2 linked regions of the Yarrowia lipolytica genome follow. The protein of the gene in region 2 interacts with the protein of the main gene of each other region in a pairwise test. Links are inferred from orthologs where the notes say so. Each region holds a gene or a part of one and is shown on either strand. Other genes may lie near its edges.

The links.
Region 1: the proteins of YALI1_B18741g (region 2) and YALI1_D11034g interact in binary tests that used the Schizosaccharomyces pombe proteins (3 or more experiments, as listed by UniProt). The link is inferred for Yarrowia lipolytica from reciprocal best matches to the Schizosaccharomyces pombe genes sid2 and mob1.

The regions. Positions count from the first base shown.
Region 1 is NC_090773.1:1,097,083-1,108,643, forward strand, and holds YALI1_D11034g (uncharacterized protein), read right to left. Parts: upstream 6,409-11,561; coding exon 5,734-6,408; downstream 1-5,733. Other genes in the region: YALI1_D10961g (uncharacterized protein), read left to right, coding at 1-1,643; YALI1_D11015g (uncharacterized protein), read right to left, coding at 2,586-4,493; YALI1_D11063g (uncharacterized protein), read right to left, coding at 7,334-9,292; YALI1_D11068g (uncharacterized protein), read right to left, coding at 9,729-9,791, 9,834-10,013; YALI1_D11087g (uncharacterized protein), read right to left, coding at 10,316-11,561. UniProt on the Schizosaccharomyces pombe protein: Has a role in promoting the onset of septum formation during the latter stages of mitosis.
Region 2 is NC_090771.1:1,864,123-1,876,632, reverse strand, and holds YALI1_B18741g (uncharacterized protein), read right to left. Parts: upstream 2,479-12,510; coding exon 736-2,478; downstream 1-735. Other genes in the region: YALI1_B18764g (uncharacterized protein), read right to left, coding at 1-211; YALI1_B18727g (uncharacterized protein), read left to right, coding at 3,882-5,120; YALI1_B18707g (60S ribosomal protein uL10), read left to right, coding at 5,900-6,844; YALI1_B18687g (uncharacterized protein), read left to right, coding at 7,903-9,342; YALI1_B18645g (uncharacterized protein), read right to left, coding at 9,642-12,038. UniProt on the Schizosaccharomyces pombe protein: Part of a signaling pathway. Required for initiation of medial ring constriction and septation.

The sequences.
Region 1 (11,561 bases), on a different chromosome or scaffold from region 2:
ACCTGCAAAACAGCGGCAAGGAGCTGGAGAAGGTGGTGGTCATGGAGATCCAGCAGGCTCTCGACCACTTTGCGCAGCTCAATTCGGCTGCTGCCACGGCTCTACAGCAGCTGGTGGACAAGTTTGTTGTCGACGGCTTTGTGGCTCGAGAGCCCGCAGCCGAGTGGACCGCCTTTGTGTCTACTGACCCCAACTTTGTCGATACTGCTACTCCCTCTCGATCTATCGACGAGATTGAGTACCCCTACCGAGGCGATCCTCTCACCTGCGAGCTGCGATCGGGCCAGCTGGAGCGACGGTCCAAGTACCTCAAGAGCTACAGCCGGGCCTTCTACGTGTTGACCCCGTCATTTCTGCACGAGTTCAAGAGCGGCGATCGGGCCAAACACCCCGTACCGGTTATGTCTCTGGCGCTGGACGAGTGCCAGATTTCGGCCGACTCCAAGTCGTCCAGCGGGTCGCACAAGTTTGTGCTCAAGACCAAGCAGGGCGACTCGTCGCGGGGCCACAATTGGGTATTCCGGGTCGAGTCTGCTGACGCTCTGCAACAGTGGATGAAGGACATCCAGACCCTCACCTCGATTAAGGATGTGCGTGCACGAGCTCTAAAGTTTAATGCCCCTAGGGTTGCTCCATCACGGCAGCAGGTTAATGGCCACAGCAACAGTAACCAGCACAACCATACTGAAGTGAACAACGCAGTCCCAGCTAACATCAACAACGTTGACTCTGCACACAACGCTTCCACACACAGCAACGCATCCAACGCCATCCCCACAGGAATTGCCACCGCAACAGCAACCGCAACCGCAACCGCCTACCCCAACGACACAAACACCACTATCGCCACCGACCCAGTAGCCGATAGTGTCGACAACAACAACCCCCTGCCCACGTCTGCCGACTCCGAAATCCCTGCCCTACCCCATTCAGCTCGCGAAATGAGTGGATCTCTCCTGGCCTCGGCCCATCGAAAACACATGGAAGAGCCCCAGCAGGTGTTCGACGAACCCGACGAGTTCGAAAGCCCAAGCGAAGCCACCAAGCAGGACCCTCTGGTCGACGAAAAGTCCAACTTTGGTTACGACAACCCTCGAAACAGAACCATTGACGACTACGAGGAAAACCAGCATGTAGGCGAGGTGCCCCGGGTGCAGTCGCGACAAAACTCTCGAAAGTTCTCCGTCGACCAGGGCCCCGCCCTGCCCGGTCTGGCCGAGATCAAGGCTGCCCAGGCTGCCGCAGGAGCCGACTCGGACGTGTTTGAGTACGACAACGAGAACCCCGACGCCGGCAACACTCTCAAGACCGAAAAGGACGAGTTTGTGCCTGCCCACTCCGATCTGCCCGTCCATGTCGAGCGACGGCTCACCATGTCCAACCACAAGGAGGACGGGGACGCTGCCCAGAATGCCCCTCGAGACCACACCGAGGTGGGCGCTGATGCCCACGACGTGATCGAGCGACAGAGAAAGTACTCTGTGTCGTCCACGGGCAAGCGAGGCCCTCCCTCTCGAAAAGCCACGGGATCCTACGGCACTACTGATGACCTCAAGCCTTTGTCCGAGGCTCAGCCCGCCGACGGCAAGGGCTCTCTGTTCTTTGCCAACGGTCTTCCTGACACCACTTCTGGTGCTAAATAAATACAATAGGTACTTAGTTAATGAACGTATGACGTGTATTTTAGAACATGCATTGTGTATTGTACCAGCAGTATTTAATCGGTCACCCCATGTTTTGCTCTTCACCCGCCTTGGTTCTCAGAGCTTATTTGCGATGACGTAGCCACCCAAACCCCACGAAAAGGAACTTCAGGGGCACACTTAAAATTTAGATTGAGGGGTGAGACTGTAGTGAACTGGTCATTTGCGACCGGGTATCTGTTTTCCATCGCTTACTAAGCCATCCGTTCCTTTGCCGCCACTCAATGGCCTTGCTCCCGATCTTTTCTCAGTGCCTTGCTAACCCGTGCTATCTTTGATGCATCCCCAAGGGCTGTGTGTATGCCTAATCTCATGCAAGTCGTGCATCTGAGTGGACCAGCGCATAGGGTTTTAACGAGGAGTAAGATGGTGCGAGACGTGATGAAATGAGACACGGGAGGGAAAATGAGGGGTTTCCGAGACCGCAAACGAAGGTGAACCAGTGAGAAGGCCCCTTTAGATGACTTCCAACACTTCTCATAAGCTGTTATCATAATACTGGGGGTACTTGTAGTGTTAAACTTGCCATTGGAGTACACACTCCTAATTAGCCTAAATATTTCACCGAAGGTGACAGAAAAAATAAATATTAATGTAAAGTCGTACAATACAAGTACATACAGTATGTACAGTATGTACATAAAAGTGCCGATACGTACATACTGCAATTGTTCTACCAGCTGTGATTATTAGTCAGCTAGATTACACTTAGCTGGCCATAACCAGACTAAGAATAAAAATAGCTGGCTATTGACCCTGAAACACCAATACCCTCCCCAGCCTTACTTCAGTTTTAGATTATGTCATAGCGAATGGTGGTCCGCTTGTTATTTTGGTGTGGTACAAGCCTTTCTGTACTCCCTGTCTGCATGTCCTCCTCAATTAGTCAAAGTCGCCCCGGGTCAGTCGGTGGCCTCGTCGGATCTGCTCCAGCTTCTCGAGAATTCGCATTCGCACCTGCCAGTGGCTGCCAAACTGCTCGTTGGAGAACCGCTTCTTGACGGACTCTCGGGCTCGTGCACGCATGTTGTGTGTATCGGACTCGGACAGCTCAAAGGCCCGCATCAGAGTCTCTGCTAGAGTGCCAATAGGCTCGCCGTCGTAGCTGGGACCGGAGTCGGTTGTGGGGTCGGAGCCAGGACAGTTGAAGTGGAAGCCCGTAGGTCCAGGAGGAACCGCCTCGTAGTGAGATCGAATGGATGTGGACGAAGGCATGGCCGATAGAGTGCCACTGTTGCCAGTGGACTGGCCCTCGTAGGGGACCACAATGTCGCACTTGGGCCCTCCTGAGTTGTGGACCACGGGAATGAGACCGGCAGACATGTACTCGACCACGACAATGCCGAAATGCTCGTTCCACATGGCGTTGACTCCCATGGAGGCAGTTCGCAGGATGTCTCGCACCTTGTCAAAGGGGGCGTCCAGCACAAACGACACCGAGTCGGGGTTGACGAGATCACGTGCCTGGAGTCGCAGAAGGTAGACTCTAGACTTGTCGTCGTCGTTTCGTACAGTTCCCACAAAAGTCAGGTGAGGAGCGGGCTGGTTGGGGTACTTTTCGGTGTACTCCTTGTAGAACTTGTTGAATTCTCTGAGCACAATGTCGTGTCTCTTCTCCGGCCGGAACTGGGCAATGTAGACAATGTTAGGGCTTCGGGCAGAGGTCTCTTCCGACATGGCAATTTCAGAAAGAGCCTGGGTGCCACAGGGAGGGTAGACAATCTTGATGTGCTCGGCCTTGTGGTTGTACCACCACATGTGCTGCATATGGTTGTTGGTCCAGGACGAGTTGGTCATGACCACGGAGCAGTAGGAGCCGGCAAAGGTATAAGTGAGGGCAAACACACGCCAGTAGACAAGCTTGGCGACAGCCAGGGCTGCTCGAACGGGCGACTGTTTGAGAGAAACGGTTGCCAGCATGTCCTTTGAGATGACAGGGTAATGGACGTAGGCAGCAACAGGCACATGGGTGACCCAGGAGACCAGAGGGTAGGCAAAAGGGTAGCCCATGGTATCGACGAAGACGTCGGGGACCAGGGTGGAGATTCCGTGCCAGGCCATCCAAACGGAGCCAGCGGCCTGCATCATGAGTGTGAATCGGGGCCAGGTCTTAGGGTCCACTAGTCGCCGGCCTCTCATTCCAATGAAGACGATTCGTTTTCGCAGCTCTTTATCCGCGAGTTCGGTGACGTGGAAGTTTGAGACGGCCGCGTCGAGCACAGTGGACGGCGAGGTTCGGGTCGGCAAATCCTGTTCTCCGCAGTAGATGGCGCAGATGATGTTGTCGTCGTACATGAGGGTGTCTTTGACTGCAGCCCACAGCACACGTTCTCCTCCTCCTCCAGCGTTAGCGTAGGGATGGAAGAAGCCGTAGATGACTCGCCGGGGCGCTCCCGAGTCCTGGGCGCGGTTGCGGAACTCGGTGTTTCTGTCTTCGGGGCTGATGGCGATTTCGGAACGTCGAGAAACGTGTGTCACTGAGTAATAGGAGGGATCATTGGACTGGAGAATGAGCTGTCGTCGAACAGCGGCGGCCTGCCAGAAGCCAAAGCCGAACAGTGTGGATGTTCCGTTGGCCTGGACGCCCTTGACGATGCTCTTTTCCCAGTTTGCCGGCGGGGATCGCAGTTTGAAGGCCAGAATGGCTGACCACGCATACAGCGAAATGTATGAGCAGAGGGGCACGAGAATGACGGCCAGCAGCAGCAGCGCCGCCAGAGCGGCCAGAAAGTCTGCGTTCAGAACGACACGCAGGTCGTGCAGCGTGGGCAGATCCAGTTGCAAGGCCATGGCGAGTCGGGGTGGAGATGGCGTTGGCGTTGGCGTTGGCGTTGGCGTTGGCGTTGGCGCTTAAACGATATTAAATAGAGCCAAGCTAGATTTGGTCTTGGGAGTATGACGCCGTTGTTCTAATAATGTAGCTAGAATACGTTCTGATAGCACCAAAGATGGGCTTCTGATGGGCTAACAGAAAAAGGGCTACAATAGGACGATCACATGACACCAAGAGTGGGTTCCCGAGTCTCCTTCACCAGAGAACGCGTGATGATACCGACAATATCACTCCTCTTCCCGTAGGCGGGTTTCTGTTTACCCCGAATTAAAGCTTGTATGTGGATCCATGCATAATGTTCTCACACAATGCACTGAGTGAAAAGTCAAGTGAACCAAACTGCACCTAAGCTACTTACTACTTGTACGAGTACTGTATTAGGAATACTGCTGTACATAGACCTACTTCTGGAAGACCATTGACAAGAGCTACAGTATAGTGCTTGATGAGTCACAACTCATATCCTGTCCAGGTATACAACACGGACCTTGTCGTACAAGAGCTGTCTTCAATACACCAATATTTATGTCCTCACAAAGTCCTCTCGGCTATCGACACACAGCCGCTTCATGGAGCTGACAAGGAATCGTAATTGCACTTGTGTGGGGTAGAAAGAGAAAATAATGAGACTGAAAATATACAGGAAAGCATCCAGGACTCCCTAGATAAGTGGCATTTGTGTATGAATCCGGTACATTGTACTTGTACTTGTACTTGTACTTGCACTTGTACTTGTGCCACTGTCTACGCTCAAACTGACCAAAATCAACAATGCGTCGTTTGTAGATGAGACCTTCAAGCAGAGGTTCTAGACGTGCAGTATCCGGTGCATTGTACATAAAAATACAATGACATGCACCATAAGCAGCTACCTGCTCACATAATGATCATACTCTTACCGGTCTCTCGAATTGGTATCTCATTTGAGTGACTGACTCACCTCACAACAACCTTGCTATCTCCACTGACACCCCTAACATTCCATTTCGCACACACCGACAGCCTATACCATTCATATACCCATTAACTATTTGACTCTGTGTGTTATTAGTCAACATCCTTCTGACCTAGCCTAATATAAGGCCTAGTTCTGTGTCCTGAGTTGCTCATCGTGAGCATTCATCAGCCGAATCGTGCTGCCCATATCCATTAGTAGTGGTCCACTCCTTACCTACGGCCAGTCGCCACCGAAATCGCCTAAGACTTATCATCCAACAAGATCTGAATCAGCTCGTCCAGAGGAGCAAACTCCTTCTGGTCGACCACGCCAAACTCCTTGGAAAACAGCACAAAGTGCTTGAGCGACGTGTTGAGATGCGGCTGCAGACCCAGCTCGCTGATCTGGTCAAAGTGATGGCAATAGATGTGTGCGTAGACTCGGAACAGCCGCTTGAGAATTTGGGGAACCACGCTGGACACAAAGTTCTTGGGGAAGGGGGCGCCTAGTCTGTGGGGGAACACAGCCTCGTCATCGAGCTGAGCCTGGACCCACGACACCAGATGCTCAATGTACTCGGGTGCAGAGACTCGGGTGGGCTTTCTGAACTTTTCCGATGCGGCATTCTGCCACAGGTACTCGTACTCGTCTGTGGCTGTCATTCGGGGACACGAAGCTGGCGAACAGAAGGAGGTGATGGTTGAGTAGAGCATGTTGACCTGGTTGTAGAAGTCGACTGTGTGCACGGCCAGCCACTCAGCCAGATCCTCGCCTTCAGGGAGCTTGACTGCTTGGGCCAGAGAGCCTGCTCCTAGAGTGGTGTCAGCATACTGTCTGAGAAGATGTGCGGGAGGGGAAGAGGCCGTGGAGGGCTTGAAAGTGCGGGTTGTACGCGAGTTGTTGGTGTTGAGATGCAGAGATTGGAAGAACGACATTTCGACAATGTGTTGGGGTGAGGTTGTTAAGTCGATACTGCGCTTGTATCGTGGAACCGTGTCCGACAGTTGTGATACACTGTGTTTAGAATCCGAGATAAAGTTGGGAGGTGGTTGCCCCGGCAACGGGACAGTGGGGACAAGGTATTGGGGATCCAATATAGACGAAATAACAAGGATTTATGTATACAGACTGTTGAAATCGATTGTTGATTGTAATTTACTCATTACTCTTCGCCAAAACGACTACTTGTAGTTAGATTCCTCTGCACCCACATCTCTAGCGACGCTTAGAAACTCCTGCATTTGTTTCACTATACAGCTTGCTACAGTTGGAACTTTAGCGGGGGTGCTGTAATCGTGAGCATAAAAAAATAAAAATAAATAAAAAAAATGTTTTTTCTGTTTTTTTTTTGTGTAGGTGTAAAATATTAAATTGGATTAAATTGTATACTGGATTAGATATGGGTACTCGTATTTGTGCTTGTTATCAACTGATATTTAGTCATTTGTAAAGTAGTCCGAGGTCACATTGTATGTACAGTGTTGTAAATACTACGACGATGCTCTTTTATAAAGAAGAATACCGTACATGTGTTTTTATTTAAATACTGTATACTGTACCCTTTAGTTGTGAAAACTGGTTTGAGACTAGTTGACTGTGGGATGCATTTCCGTCGCTGAGATCTGAAATGTGTTTTACAAGATAGACTGTGAGGATACCATAATGACCCACTGATATCAACAAGTATCTTACTAAGTGAAGGGAGAGCTGCTACTGTCAAGAATCTGTCAAGTATATATAGTTGACTGTTTAGTTGAATTATAATCGGGTTGACGTACCAACATTTTGCCTGTTTTACACCTTTCCTATCATACCTATCTTATACTATTTACATCTGCTTGCTACACTCCACACCCCTCCTTACATTCGCTTGTAGAAGACACAAGTGGTTCCGTCGCCAGCGACAATCTGCTGCTGGACCTCGCAACCGTTGATCTTGGTCTTGGTCATGAGCTGGGTGTAGGGATCGGACTCGGTGGTGTGCTTGGTGATCAAATGCGAGGGTTTGGGGATGTTGTTTCGCTTGCCGTTTCCAATCTGCGAGAACTCGTTGCCGCCCCACAGGTACAGGTCCTGGGTAGTGGCAACGTCGTTGGAGTTGTCCAGAACGGCAGCCACGTGGTTGGGGCCCGTGGACATGTAGTTTACCTGGATGGGAACAACCTTGTTGAGCTTCTCGCTCCACTCAGAGGCATAGTTGATCTCCTTGATGGGCGTCATCTCAGCCTGCACATGCTTGAACGTGGCGTTTCCAAGCTGGCCCTTGAGACCGTCACCGAACGAGTAAATCACCTCGGCGGTGTCCTGCAACAGCTTCTTTCGCTCCGAGTTGGAGGCGGAGTTGTAATCATCAGACTGCACCACCTTGATGCCGGCAAACGAGGTATCTCCTCCAGCAAAGACTCGGGTAACAATAGCAGCCTGGTCCTTCTTGCAAATTCGGCCCAGGGTCAGCTGACGAGGCAGAGCAACGTTCTGCGACTCATAGGCGTAGTCCAGACCAAGCTGGCCGCACTTGTTGGAGCCAAACACCCACATGTTACCGTTCTGGTCTCGCACAAGCGAATGGAAGGCACCAGCAGCAATGTTAGTGACAACAGCATTTCGGAAAGATCGAATCTCGTACAGAGTTCCGGGTCGGGGAGCGGTGTTGAAGTGAGAGAACTTTGCAATTCCAAACTGGCCAGCGGAGGGAAGGGGAGCCTCGGTACCAACCAGAGTCTCTGAAAACTCGCCAGTCACGGGGTTAGGATCGGTCTCAACCTCCTCAATGGCTCCTCCGGTAGATGAAACAAACACTCGGCCCTTGTTGGACAGAGCCAGAAGATGGTCTTGTCCAGCAGAAATGTCACTGAGCTTCTCGGTGATGCCCAGAGTGGTATCAAAGTCCAGCTGACGGTAGGTGATCTTGGCTTCTCGCTTCCATCCGGGGATCAGACGCGTTCGGGTTTCTCTTTCCTTGGGTCCAGCCACCTGCAGCTCCTTGCTAACAGGGAACGAGTACACGGTTCCATCCTTGGACAGAGCATAGAGCATGTTTCGAGACTGGACGATTCTGACGGCGTCCTTTCCTTGCAGAGTGACCTCGGGATTCTTGACGGAGTGTGGGGCAAACCGGTCACCCCACTGGACCACGTCTCCGTTGTCCAGAATGGCAGCTCCAGAGCCATCGCCCAGAGTCACGTCTCGCAGCAACTTTCCTTCAAAGTATCGCAGTCGAACGGGAGATCGCACCAGCTTGGGGGTCTCGGATTCGGCGTTGTACGTGTCCTTGATTGCGTGTCCATCGTTATCTCCCCAGGCAAAGAGTCCGGGAGTCATTTCAGCAAAGGAGACTCCAGCAACCGAAGCCTTGCCCTTCTTTGAGGACTTGTCAGCCGCCGCCGCAGCAGCAGCAACGGCGTCGGCGTCTTCCTGTCGAACAGCGGCACTGGCAACAGCCTTCTTCTTCTGCTGTCGCTCCGCCACCTGTCGATGGAGTTCCTCGTCGGACTCAGAGTACGGCCCATACCACTTGTAGCCGAAGTAGACGCCAACTACCGAGGCCACAGAAATGATGGCCCAGGAAACGGCCTTCTCGTGCTTGGCTTGCTGCTTCTCCTCCTCGGAGGGATTGTAATTGGGCGTTCCGTCAAACCGCGGAATCTGAACTGTGGGAGGCGGAGGGGGGTACGATAGAGGTTTGCCCTTGGACTCGTTCTTGTGCTCGGCCATTCTGAGCACGGAAGTCGACAGAAACCGGGTGGAGGTCGATCTGGGCGCGGCGGATCTGGCCAGCGACGCCCTCAGAGCGCCAGGTACAGCTCTGTAGTGTTTCATTGAGTGTTTTGTTGCCGAGAGATAAAGTCTGGGGTTGCACTACACTTTTAGGCGGTCCAAAAAATAGTCTTCAAAATCATGCACTTACAGTATCTTGCAGCGACCATGAATAAGCGGTTTTGGCAGCACGCACGAGGTCAGTTGAGCCATTAAGCACCGTTAGTTAACCTTGGGTGGCGTGGTTTTGAAACTTTTTAAGAAAAAGTCAGAAAACGTACAAAATAAAAAAATAAAAAACAATAAAAAACAATAAGAATAAATAAAAAAAAGACAGGCAATCTGATCATGGAACACTATAGCGTCCCCGGGAGAGATGAAATTGATTATTTCGATATTATGTAATCACAACCACCAATCAACCAAACCAGAACTATACAATGCAATATCTGACTTGCTGGCTACTTGTCAGCCTTGCTACAAGTCGCTCCCAAATAAACTACAGCAACACGATCATCATCGCCTTACCATCTTCCCCAAGGTTTTGACTTAATTTTTTTCTCTCTCAAGCAACAGTCTCATCTTTTTGGCGGAGTTACTCTACCAAGAGGGATATGAGTTTGTGGGCTGCGATCGGAGTTATGTGGGCTGCGATCGGAGTTATGTGCCAATAATGCCGGTCTTGGGCTTCAGGCGATCTACAAGCTTGTGTCTTGACTACAAGTTGTAACAGTAGTACAAGTAGCGACAGTAGGAATACCCATACTTTTACTCTCTCCAACATGATTCTTAGATAACGCTCTGGTGTTGACAAGCCACAGCTAAGACGCAAGATTAACGGTGTTGGACTCGTCTTCACGTTACCATATGTACTTGTTGCTTGACTCTCTCCACTTCCACGAGCATTGCAATCTCTACCCAAGCACTCCAGTCCACACTGTGGTTGCGCCCGTCATGAAACAGCTCATTCGATACCAATACCACAGGCTACATTTAGTTTTCTCTTCCCTTCCAGGTGATGCAATAAATTAATAATTTACACAGAAGTATCGAAAGAAGTCCAGGATTTACAAGTGAATCTGTCCCTCAGACAGTATCCATAGCCCCCTTCTTCTTCTTGCCCTTCTCTCCAACACAGTAGCCGTTCTTGATCAGACAATGACAGCAAGCATAACCCCATTTGGCAGTCTCCTTATCATAGTAGCTTCCCCAAACAGAAGTGTGATTGCCTGGAAACACATCCTCCTCATACTTGGAAACAGCAATACCCTGAGCGTTCTTGGCACGGATCACTGTGGGCTTCTTTGCCGTCACCACAGAAGTGTATTCTTTGGGTCGTACTCGAACATGGTCTTGTTTGCCATACTTTTCCTCGAGCGCCCGTTTTTCGGCGTCCTTGGCTTTCTCGGCCTCCTCCTTGATCCGCTTGGCCGCAATAGCGGCGGCCGTGGGGTTGGCATGCAAATGGATCTGGTTTCCCAGCGCCGATTCAGCCTCGGCAATACGAGTAAGCTCCTCCATCTCTTTTCCTTCACCAGTCGTGTGTCTCACAAACATTCCGTCCTTGTCAATGTAACCCTCATCAGCAGTTCGAAACGTCCGACTGCCCGGATTGTAGACGGTCTCCGAGTTGAGATCTTTCAAATACACAGCCGTGTCTTCTCGCAGTCGCAATGTTCGTGTGGACTTTCGAATAGCCTCCTCCACAGCAGCAGCCTTCTCGGCATCGGTCTCAGCTGGGGCGTCTCCATGCAGCTTCTTCTGCAGCTCTTCGGTCATGTTATGTTCGTCGATGACTCGCTTGAAGTCTTCGGCGTCGTAGCCGTTCCATCGATCTCGTTTCGAATCCCAGCTCATGTGCGGGTTGGATATCACGTCGTCGGCCTGCAGGTTGTCGGCCTTGTATTTCGCACCCACTTTTCGTGGACGCTCCATGCAGTCTTTCTTTTTGTGCGTCATGGCACCGCAGTTTTCACACGCGCCCTTGCGGAACTTTTTGGGTCGCTCAAGGGAACTTCGATCCTGGCCTCGAGCGTACCACTCCTCCTTCTTGGAGTCCGTCTTGTCCTTCTTCAGATGGTCCAACGAAGACGCAGACGGGTCGTCATCACCCGCCTTAGCGTACCACGGCGCTGACGACATGAATCGCGGGATATACGGGTTCAAAACATCTCCTTCCTGGTTCGTCACAGGCGTCTGGGTTTTGCCCTCCTTCCGTAGCTTGCGGTCCTCCTCGTGCTTGAGCTCTCCCTCGGCGTCTCTTTTGGCCGACAGCCGTTTCTGCAGCTCCACCGACCCGTCCTGAAGTCCATCAAGAGTCGTAGCTGGCTTG
Region 2 (12,510 bases):
GTTGCGACAGAAAAGACGAGTCCACATAGTTGTCGGGGTAGTCCTGCTTGACCCACAATAGTTTCTTCCATGGCGGACGAGTCGTCGGTTGGCAGTCGGGGAACACGGCGTCCGGATCATCAAAGCCCGATTCTTCCGTTAAAGGCTCTCCCTGCACTCCGGTCCATTCTCCTGTGGCTCGAGACCTCAGTTTCTGGATCCCGCGCGACATGTTGGCATCAGCAAATTAGCTTTGGTGAAGAGGTCAGCTTAAAGTTGGTGTTGGACAACATCAGATGTGTCGAGAAAGCGAGCATGAGAGGGTGATAATAGTGGTCAATGTGGGCGGAAAGACTCATTGAAGTTGAAAATCAACTTTTTAACATACAGGTAGATAAAAGAATGCCACACAAATTATTTATGGTACCACAAAATCAACCCATATTCCCTCTGCAATAATAAGACTGCTAAACTACACGTGCATGATCTGCAAGGGACGTTTAGATCGGTCGATGAAGTTGATTGATCTTTGAGGTGATAATATCCGAATAGTAATTACAGGTAAGTTGTTCGCTAAGACGATGAATGTCTCGGAGTCCTGGTGTTTATGCTTTAATATTATGTTAATCTCAGATATATTAGAAAGGAACGGAACGCGGAACGCGGAACTGATGTGGTAGCTTGACCACTGGAATCTATGCGAGCTATTTAGTAAGATGTGGGAGAAATTTCAAGTGCGAGTGAAAGAACATCCAGTTAGAACATGGTTCCAAAGTTGCTTCGTCCAACTTCTCGCCTGCTGTGAGTGTTGCCCTTGTTGGTCTCCTCCAGAATGTTGTTATTGGGGTTTCGAGAGTGCCTGAAGGTGAAGCCGACAAATGCTCGGTGGGGGATGGGGTTGCCCTTGTCAGCAAGGTTCTCGACCTGTGTTCGCTTGGCCATCACCTCCTGGTACTTCTCCATATCAGCCTCGTTAGAGAAATCATCAAAGTAGCCAGCGTCAACATCCGAGTCGAGCTGGGGGATGAAGGGAGGAGTCTTTTCTCGCAGAGTCTCCCATTCAACCTCGGCAAAGTAGGGGTGCTTGGCAATCTCGTCGAAAGACCGCAGTCTGTATCGAGCGGAGGTGATGAGTCGTTGGATGAGATCCCAGGTTCGGTCCGAAAAGACGTATCGACCATCATCGTACTTGGGCCGCCGAAGAGCGTTCTTCCACTGTCGCAAGTTAGAGTATGTCTCGTCAGGAGAAGCTCCAGCGAAAGGAGGGTAGCCGGCCAGAGTCTCGAACAACATGCAGCCCAGAGACCAGTAGTCAATTGTGTAGTCGTAGTTCTTTCCCTCCAGAACCTCCAGAGCCATGTAGTCAGGAGAGCCAACAATGGAGGAGGCGTAGTTAATGTCCGAGGCTCGCAGAGACCGGTACATCTTCTGTCGCTCGGTGAGCGATCTATGGGTGACCTGGACATCCTTGACGGCATCAAGACGAATTTTCATGCTTTCAACTCGGTCCTTGGAGATTGCTCCGGATGCAAGACCAAAGTCAGTCAGCTTGATGTGACCTGCCGAGTCGATGAGGAAGTTCTCGGGCTTGAGATCTCTGTGGATGTATCCGAGCTTGTGGAGGGCCTCCAGTGATGCGAACATCTCGGAGATGTAGAACCGCGCGTGTCTGGGGTTGAGGATGCCGGTGTTATTAAGCAGAGTTCGGTAGTCTCCTCCAGGGACAAACTCCATGGCGAGGTAGACAGACTCCTGGTCCTGGAAGGCGTAAAGCAGCTTGACAAGCCACTCGGACCGGGCAGCCGTTAGAATGTCTCGTTCGGTAAGAATGTGTCTGATTTCGTCCAGTTTAAGCAGCAGCTTCTTGTTAAGCACCTTGAGGGCGCAAATTTCCCGGGTGTCGGCCTTCTTGGCCAGGAACACCTGTCCGTAACCTCCCTGGCCGACTTGGGTAAGGATCTGGAAGTCGCCGTGCTTGAGACGGGTTCGACGCTTTCGCAGGTGAGCTCTTTCTCGGCCGACATACGACTTCCATTGAGTCTCAGCCTCGGCTTGGGGGACGCCTCCAAGAGCAGCCTTGGCTTTTCCAAGACGCTGCTGACGGCCGTGTACGTAAGTCAGCAGATCGAAGTAGTAATCGAAGAAGTACAACTGGGTGACGTTGACCAGTCGCTTGGTCTGAGGGTCATTGAACTTTTCGTAGTCACGTGAAGTCCACGACGGCGAGTGTGTGTTGGCCGTCACCTGGCTGCCGTGGTGGCCCTGCTGTTGAGGAGCCCAGTTCTCCTTGTCAGTAGGTCGGCCAATGTTGAGAGACTCAATGTTGGAAATGATGGCGGTGGTCTCGTCGGGGTCACAACTTCCAGCCTCGTGTCGAAGAGGGCTTCGAGGGGGAGAGGTTCCTCCTCGCATGGGAGACTGGGGCATTCGCAGAGATTGGAGCTTTTGTTCCACAGAGCTCATGGCCCCCTTGACCGGGGAGTCTTTAAACGATACCATGGTGTGGTTGTGTTGCAAGATGTGTGGCGAAGTGTGGAGCAGAATAGTTTACCACGACGTAGCTAGCCTCTCCTCTAAAGTATTAGCTACATAAGGATAGGCGTGCAGTCGGATGGTGTTGTGTTTACTCCTAATTGGGACAAGGTTGCTGGGGCAACGCGGGTTGACGCGAGGAGACGGAAGCAGAGTCAAAGTGGTGTCAAAGTGGAGATAAAAGGGGTGCCTGGGGAAGGGGGAGGGGAAATATAACAGTGTTTGCGTGGCCTGGTTTTATTTTATTTTCAGTTGAAAATTAACCAAAGAAGTCTTTTTTATAGCTTCCATATGACAGGTGTTGACCGGGTCCCCATGGTTCAGCCTGATGAAACATACTGTAATTTCAAGCTTGGAGTTAAAGTGGGAGACGAGCAAGGAGAGAAGAAAAGGAGGAACAACAAGGCAGTGTATAGAGAGAAGGGTAACTGAACGGGGGCTATTGTACAATACATTGACAGGGTGCGATTACCAATCCCAGCGCCTATAATACCGATATAGCCAACCATGGCACGTCTGCCTTCTTCCTCCTCTTAAGTTAGTTGTTCAGAAGCCTCCACACAGCTCGAATCGAGGTGTGAAACAATAGTGATGCTCTGAGAGAATACAATTATGAGTATGTACTATACAGCGTAGTGCTCGTGCTGTAAAATACTGTACACGTACTCCACCTAGACGTGCAGTAGAGCCAAACTGATGCGCGAAATAATAGTATTGTTTGTGCTTATTGTCGCTCTTGTTGGAGTGGCTATTTTGCAGTCAAGGCAAACAGACTGCCCGTTAATGTCGAGTGTACAGGATGTACACAAGGTACTTGTACTTGTGTGGGGACGTGATAGTTAGATATTCAGATATTCAGAGCACAAGGACACACGACACTACAAGTACGCGTTCGATGTATATTATTACACTCAGGCAGCATCCGAACATCACTACAAGTAGTTTCCACTGACAACATGTACACATCAAGGTACCCAGACACCTGACAGACTCGCTTAGTGAACCTCTTTAAACTCACAACCTCACTGTCATGCAAGGCACAAGGCCGACCGTTTGGTTCCAGCAGGTGGAAAAGTGCGTGGAAAAGTGCGACACGTACCGTAGCATCCAATCACAGAGTTTTTTTGAAACCAGCAACAGCCGTGACACCCAAGAATAGTCTGTGACACGTCCACTCATCAGACCCACATGTAGCGTGCATCAACCTGTGTCCACTCCCAATATGCAAGCCAAAATTAATTTTACGCGACACGTTCAGAGACTGCTAATTACAACTACAAGTAGACGGACTTCAAGTACACTAACGTCTCCGACGGAATCCAAGACGACTTTTGCTGAACATAGACGGCCCACCAACACATTGGAATCACATGCAACTACGAATCCCCGCACCCTACAATACTCTACAGCAGCCTCCAGCCAACCGTGGAGTGTTTATCTGCATCGATACCGAAACCGCAGAACATCATGCTGGAGTGATCACGGAGATCGGAGTGGCCGTGATGCGGTTCCATCCGATTGGTCAGCCCGACAAGCCTTACGCAGCCCCTAAGATCTCGGCCCAGCACTTTGTTGTCAAGGAGAGATCGTCGGATCGATACCGAAACGGTAACTACGTCCCGGACCATAGAGACTTCTTTTGCTACGGTACGTCGCAAGTGGCGCCTCTAGCCGACATTCGAACAGTTTGGAAGGAACTTCTGACGGGCCTTACTGCCGGCTTTGACCAGGACCCGGTCTACTATGTGGGCCACTGCATCTCGGGGGACCTCAACGAGCTCAAGAAGATGGACTTCCACATTCCTGAGCTGCCCATCATCGACACTGAGAAGATCTGGCGTTGTATTAAAAAACAGGGCAAGGGCAACCTCACCTATCTTCTGGAGGCATTTTGCATTCCTCACGCCTTTCTCCACAATGCAGGTAATGATGCCTATCTCAACCTGATGGTGTTCCAGGCTCTGTGTGATCCCGTTGTTCGCCAGGAACACAGCGTGGGGACCAAGTTCAACTACGATCCACGAACCCCTCACAACAAGAGACGTCGAAAGAAGGCTATTGACTACCCCATCGAGTATGCCAATGACTACGACACTCTGGAAACCAACGTCAAGTATCTCGGCAAGCTGGACGGCTGCAACCGTTTTATCAAGATTGGTAACCTGGAAGAGGAGGAGGAGCTGATCCCCCGAATGTTGCCTGCTGTAGTAGTCAAAGCAGACTCCCTGGCAAAGGAGGCAGTCCTTGGCCCCAACTCGGACCGATACGAGCGACAGAAACTGTCTGAAGACGTTGAAATGACTGGCCAGACTGTTGGACCTATGGACATGCTTGTACAACCGGCTTTGCAGGGTCGAGGACGGTCCCCGAACAACCAGCAGTATCTACCTTCTCACAGCGGGTTTGACAGACCGACATACACCGCTCGCCGGTATGACCAAGACAACAACCAAGGTGCTCGAGCAGCCCACAACAGACAGGGAATGTACAACAACCGTGGACAGAACCACAAGAAGCGAAGACAACCAAGGGGCGACTTCCAGGGTGCTCGCAGCCGGGACTCTAGTCAAAAACGAGGATCTGGAGGTGCCTCTGGGACCCAGGAATGAGAACTCACGAAGCGAAGACGCACTGACGACTAAGCATCATTGAATATGATACCGTTATATAATAGTGATGTATGTTGTGCTGGCCACATCCTACATTCAGTTATGTGTACTCCGCGCTGACAACGTGGACTCACTGGGATACTGTGCGGGACTCTCGCCTTATGTGACTACTCTATACATACATACTGTACGGGGAGTGAGTGTCCCAGATCGTACATATATACAAGTACATACTACATAGTAGTTTGATGATGCTTAATGTGTGCAAATAGTGAAGAAACTTGAGACAAGCTCTCTAATCAACCGCTCACTACGTTAACTACGTTTATTTACGTGCTTTTTCATATCTTCGAAGTTTTGTATGTCTTAAAAAACGAAACTTCAGCTTGTTTGAAGCTGTACGTACGGATTAGTAAAATATGCGTGCCTACGTGGATGGTGGGGTGCGATGATCTCAACAAAAGTAGAAATTTTAGCCATTTGAGTAGAGGGGTGAATTTAAGACATGGGAAGGTAAGTAGAATACAAGTAACTATTCTCGCAGCATCAAAAATCGCTTTCGCTTACATAAAAAACCGACCTTATCCAGTTCTCCCACTCACGTGATATCAAGGTTAGGGGACACAGCCCAATTGGTGAAGTATATCACAGCACTGCGTAAGTTTGAGCATACCCACTCAGACTCCGCGTTGGGAGTTCATAACTCGCTGGTGAAATTTTTCTTCTCTTCTTCTCTTCAGCGGAATTTGTCTTTAAATATCCTATCAAACTAATTCGAAATGGGAGGCAGCACCAGCATCAAGAAGACCGAGTACTTCTCCAAACTGAAGCAGTTGCTTCAGGAGTACAAGTCCATTTTCGTCGTCGGCGTCGATAACGTCTCTTCTCAGCAGATGCATGAGATCCGAAAGACTCTCCGAGGCCGAGCAGTCGTTCTCATGGGTAAGAACACCATGGTCCGACGAGCTCTCCGAGAGTTCGAGGAGGAGCTCCCCGAGGCTGCTGAGCTTCTCATGCCCCTCTGCCGAGGCAACGTTGGTTTCGTTTTCACCAACGACGACCTCAAGGAGATCCGAGAGGTTCTCCTCGAGAACCGAGTTCTGGCCCCTGCCCGAGCCGGTGCCATTGCCCCTAAGGACGTCTGGATCCAGGCCGCCAACACTGGAATGCCTCCGGACAAGACTTCTTTCTTCCAGGCTCTCGGTGTCCCCACCAAGATTTCTCGAGGTACTATTGAGATTACCTCCGATGTCAAGATCCTCCAGCAGGATGTCAAGGTCGGTCCCTCCGAGGCTACCCTCCTTAACATGCTGAACATCTCTCCTTTCACCTACGGAATGACTGTTGTTCAGGTCTACGACAACGGCCAGGTTTTCGGTTCCGAGATTCTGGACATCACCGACGAGGAGCTCATCTCCAACGTCATTGGTGCCATCTCTACCATCACCGCCATCTCCCTTGCCGCCAACTACCCCACCCTCCCCGCCGTGTCTCACTGCATCATCAACAACTACAAGAACGTTCTTGCTCTGTCCATTGCTTCTGACTACACTTTCGAGGGCTCTGAGGCCATCAAGGACCGAATTGCCAACCCCGAGGCTTACGCCGCTGCTGCTCCTGCCGCCGCTGCCGCTTCCGGCTCTTCTGAGGCTGCCCCTGCTGCTGCCGCTGAGGAGGATGAGGAGTCTGAGGATGACGACATGGGATTCGGTCTTTTCGACTAAGCTCTTAGTTAGTTAAAAATCTACTACTTATCTGTAAACCCTGGGATTGTAGAATTGCGCTGTGTATTTATAATAACGTTGTGTCCTCCTACTATGACTAAGACCCGCATTGAGCTGAGTGGAGTGTGCTACCTGTAACGTTGTGTATGTACTGTACTTGTAATATGAATACGATCTTTAACACTACAGTAAAAGTATCAACATTTGAACTGTTGATTTATTATGTGCAGTACAAGTATGAACTTGTACGATCTATATGCTCTTTTATTTGAATAATATATTTATACTATACGACTATTATACGCCCAGTACAATATCTCTTTTTCAGTGTGAGCTTTGTCCCATTCCGTAGGATTTTTTTCCCACAGGTTTTTTTTATTATTTATTATTATTATTATTATTATTATTAATAATAACATAACAGTACTACTTGCAATTACTTGCCATGGTGTGATGAGTCCCTCTTCTCAAACCTACTTCTGACACAACATGGTATCAGAAGTCAGAACAAGAACAGCAAAATTCGCTCAGAAGGAAGGAAGGCAGATATAGTGTTAATTCGATTATATTTATACTGACTCTACCCCGCATCGAGTTCTGCACGTAAGACATTTGTAGTACTCGTACCAATACGGTACACTCGTACTTGTACCCCCTCTTCACAATGCACTCATCACCAATCACTCAGTTGCAGGTACAGGAGGAGATCTTTCCATCTTCTGGGTAAAATATCATAGCATCTGATGGATTGAATGCAATAGAATCACATGCAACAACACAGCTTATGTAGTTAGACCCCGTTTTTCCAACCCCTTCGCTCTCCGGATAACACGCCTTGCTCTCAGTTGCTCTTCCCTCTGCCGACTTCCGTCTGATCCACCTCTGCCATCTGTCAATATACACTACTGTAACCCAGAGTCTATCTGAGATTCGCGTAATTTTTTGTTTTCCCGCTAACCGTTGTGAACCAACTTAATCACATGCGTCTGTGGCCCAAGCTGGCTTAGGCACAAGTAGACGACTTTTTCTCTCATTTTTTTGCAACGGGACAAGAAGACATGCATTTGTTTGTGCTCATTCACGGTCTCTGGGGAAGCGCAACCCACATGGCCGCGGTAAAGGAGGTGTTGGACACCACCTACGGTGTCAAGGCTGGAGGAGACATGGTTGCTTATGCCACTCAGAGTAACCACGGTACTCTCACCTACGATGGAGTGCAAGTATGCGCGCGTCGATGCTATCTGGAGATCAAGGAGGTGATTCGCCGCTACGCTGATGACGAGGGTGTTACCTTTGACCGCATCTCGATACTGGGCTATTCTCTTGGTGGCCTCATTGCGCGGTATCTCTGTGGCATATTTTTGGACGAGGGCTTCTTCGACAAGGTCAAGCCCGTTCTGTTCTCCACCATAGCCACGCCGCATCTGGGCTCCAAGTTCCACCGAACTGACAAACGTTGGTTCAGTTGGATGAACACTCTTGGAAGTACCTATCTCGGGAACACTGGACGAGACCTGTTTCTCAAGGACCCGACACTTGCTGACATGAGTAATCCTTCCTCATCCGCATATAAGGCGCTGGAGATGTTTGATAACCGGGTGCTGCTGGCCAATTGCCGAAACGACCGAACGGTGCACTTCCCAACGGCGTTTATCACGGCTGCTAATCCGTTTGCTAACCTACGATGGCTCGATCTCAAGTTCCACGAAGTCAAGCTGCAAGAACCCGTGGTGGACAGCTACGGCTGGAGCCACTCGCCTCGAATCATTGACTTCAAACGAACCACCAAACGGTCCCTTCCTTTCCCCGTCTACCACGAACACATTCGCCAGAAGCTTATCTTCTGGAGTTTTGCGGCTACTGTTGGTCCCCTAGCTATCACAGCTGTGTTAATTGCGTCCATGTTCTTCACCAACAACTCAAATCACCGAGTCAGCAAGTTTCTGAGAGAAGGAGACAAGGCACTCATGGGTGAGATTCTCGAAAGTATCAAGATGGAGACTTTTGACGAGGAGTGGTTGAATGAGGGTGACGAGAGGAAGGTTGGCGGTAAGGGGGAGAAGACTGAGAACACCGACAAACAATCCTCCCCCGTTTCTAAAACGGACGCGTCCAAGGTTGAGGAAGAGGCTGATGTCATGGCTGCTGGAATCACTGAAGCTGCCGTCGAAGACGTCATTCTAGGTGATGATCTTAACAACACCGACACGCCTGCTTTGTCGGAAACCAAGGTGGTCGGTCTGGGTGAAGCTATGGAGGCGGCTAGACACACAGGAGACCGAGGATTGCTGGCCAACTGGGCGAACAACGCGCCTTTCTCCGAGGACGTACTCAGCATGATTGAGAACATGGACAAGCTAGGCTGGGAAAAGTACGCCGTGTACATTACCGTGATCCATTCTCATGCTGCCATTGTTGCTCGACGAGGGCTTACTCAACAGGGACAGGGTGCAGCTACCCTGCGTCTCTTCAGCGAGATTATTAGATCCAAGATTTGAACACAACAATCTTGTTGCTCGCGGAAGCCAGACGGGCATGCTAACTTATAGACACACAGTATGACGTGGTAATTTATAATAGAAGTTTACAAAACACAGCACTACGACTATTCACACAGTAATCTACAATCAGTTCAATCCATCAAGTCATAATTATTTATACATCATAGAACGATTAGGCTAATCCTGGAGCTCAACAAAGTTGGAAGGGAAGAGGTTTCGCTTGCCGTTGAGCGATCCGGTCCACCAGTCCTCGTCGATGAATTCAATATCTGTGATGATATCGTCCGCCGCGAAGCTCAGTTCATTGTCCTCAGCAGCGTCGTAGTCGTACAGGGCGATGGCAGAGGGGCCAGTGCCAGCTCCGGCAGCAGCGCCGGCAGCAGCGCCCGGCAGCCCGCGGCAGGATCGGGAATGGTGGGCACAGCACCATCCTTAAGCCTGACATAGTTGGAGGGGAACAGACCGGACTCACCCTTGGAGTTGGTTCCGCTCCACCAGTTCTCGTCCAGGAACTCAATGTCGGTGACGATCTCGTCCTCCACGAGATCGATCTCACCCTCCTCATCCTTAGTGTAATCGTACTCCACGGTGGCAGAGGGCTTGCTGGAGACAACAGCAGCAGGAGTGGCAGCAGCAGCACCGCCTCGAGAAGGCAGGGCGGGAGCAGGAGGCTCATCGGCAGCAGGTCGAGATGGCATGGGAGGAGGAGGAGCGTCGTTAGCAACATGTCGAGCAGGCATAGGAGGGGGGGCATCATCGTCGTTGGCGGGAGGAGGGGCGTGTCGAGCAGGCATGGGGGGAGGAGCATCATCTTCTTCCTCATCTTTGGCAGCTCCTCGAGCAGGAGGAGGAGGAGGTCCTCCGGTACCAGCACCAGCAGAGAAGGCGGCCTGAAGAGCAGAGGCGCCCTTGGAGAAGCTGTTGTGCTCGTCCTCATCGTCGTCATCCTCATCAGCGGGGGGTCGAGATGCAGAGGGAGGAGGCGGGGGCACTGTTCGAGCAGGAGGAGGGGGAGCATCATCTTCGTCGGCAGCAGCGGGCTTGTTGAAGGCGCCTCGGAGAGCAGAGACAGAGACAGCGGGAGCATCGTCCTCGTCCTCATCATCGTCGTCGTCGTTTACTCGAGAGGCGGAAGGAGGGGGAGGAGGAATGGTTCGAGAAGCAGGGGCGGGGGTGGACTTCTTGGGCTCGTCATGCACGGCCGGCTTATTGAAGGCACCTCGAAGAGCGGAAACCGATGCGTGGGGCTCGTCATCTTCGTCGTCATCACCACCGAAAGAAGCAGGAGTCTTCTTGTCCTCCTCATCATCGTCGTTCACAGACAGCTTGGAGAACTTGTCGGATGCAGAAGAGACGTTGGAGGTAGACGAAGGCACGGCCACGTCAGGCTGGGGAGTCTTTCCATGCTTTTCAGCCCAGATCTGACCGGGAGTCTTACCGTTCTCAGAGGCAAAATCTCGGGATCCACCAGACACAATTGAGGTCTTGAGACCATACTGAGACGACAGATCACCGGCGGGGGCCAGAGGCTTGGTTCCTCGAGAGGCAGCGGGTGTGAATCGAGACTGGATAGCAGATTTGTCGATCTTGGGCTTGGGCATCTCGGTGAGCCGTCCAGACCCGGAGAAAGCGTTGAGTCGGTCCTTAACAGACTTGGGGGTCTCATCCTCCTCATCGTCGTCGTCTCCACCAATGGTGGTAGGGGGCTTCTTGGAGGGAGTGGGAGTAGAAGAAGACTTGGAGGGCTTCTGGAAGGCCTTCATTCTGTCTTTGAGAGACATAGGCTCGCCGTCCTCGTCCCCGTTCTGGTTGTCCTCATCCTCAACATCGGCGACAGGGGCAGGCTTAGAGGTAGGCTTAGGAGTGGCCTTGGGCTTGGGCTTGTCGAGGTCCGTCTTGATGGGGGTGTTTTCAAAGGACTCCTTGTGTCCCTTGCCCTGGGCTCGGATGGCTGCAATGTCAATTTTACCGACGGGCTTGTAGGAGCCACCGACAATGCCTCGATCTGAGTCGGCGTCTCGTCCCTCGGACGTGAAGGTCGAGGGTCCTCCCTTCTTTCGGATCTCGGCCAGGTCAACCTTGACGGGCTTGTAGGACGACTCAACAGGTGTGGGCTTGGAGACGGGCTTGGTTTCCACTGCAGGGGCGTCTCCCCAGTCCTCCTCATCGGCTCCAGACTTTTGCGTTGTGTAGGTGGGCTTGGTCTTGATGGCCGACGAGATTCCGGGCTTTCTGGATGAGGTGGCTCCGTACTTGGCACCAGAGGCTCGCTCCAGCCGCTCCAGGATCACATCCTCAGTGAGATCGTCTCGGTCTCGGGCAGTCACCTGGACGTGGTAGCCGTGGAAGAGATTTCCAAGGGCATGGAGATGGGGGTTGAAGACACCCTTGGCTCGAGGGTCGGGGACTCCCTCAGGACACCAGCCCACGTAGACAATCTTGGGTAGCTTCGAGTGAGGGTCGGGGACTCGGACCAGGCCGTATTGCAGCTTGCCCTCCTCGAACTCGTCGAGGAAATCGGCCAGAGTGGAAGTGTCAGACTCAGGGATGGCTGCGACCTTGATGGTGGCCGAGGACGCTGTGGGAGAGGTGGCATAACCAAAGATTGCCCAGGGGAACTCGGGGTCATTGCTGACAATGGCGCCGTACACGTCCTTGATCTGCTGGCCGTTGGTAGCTAGGTCGAGAGACATGTTGAAACGTGTGTTGCGGTAATTGGGTGTGTAAGAGTGTGTGTGTGGAGAGACTATGTACAAGTGGTGAGCTAATTGAGAGTTATAGACCAACCATGCACTGTGATGTGGAGTTTAAAGCTCGGAGCAATCGGATGGTGGAGCGGTTCGAATGGGTGATAGAGGGGTGATATGAAAAAAAGTAAGGATGAGAATGTGTTTGTAATGGACAATTGTTTGTGGTTGGGGGTATCATTCTTCTCTTGTATGCCTCCCCTACCCCGCATGAAGGCTGCTCTCTACCTGTACAGAGTTGTATTGTCTATGTCTCAGCACTACACCTCGTACTGGTAGTTACAATAAGCCAGACGTAGCCTAGATGCCGTCTCACGACCCTTTACTTGATTTGCAGTGACTGACAAGATAAATAGCAAGTGCCAGACTGTGAATTGTGACAACATGTCCTTGCTGTCCTCTTTTTCATTGTACTTGT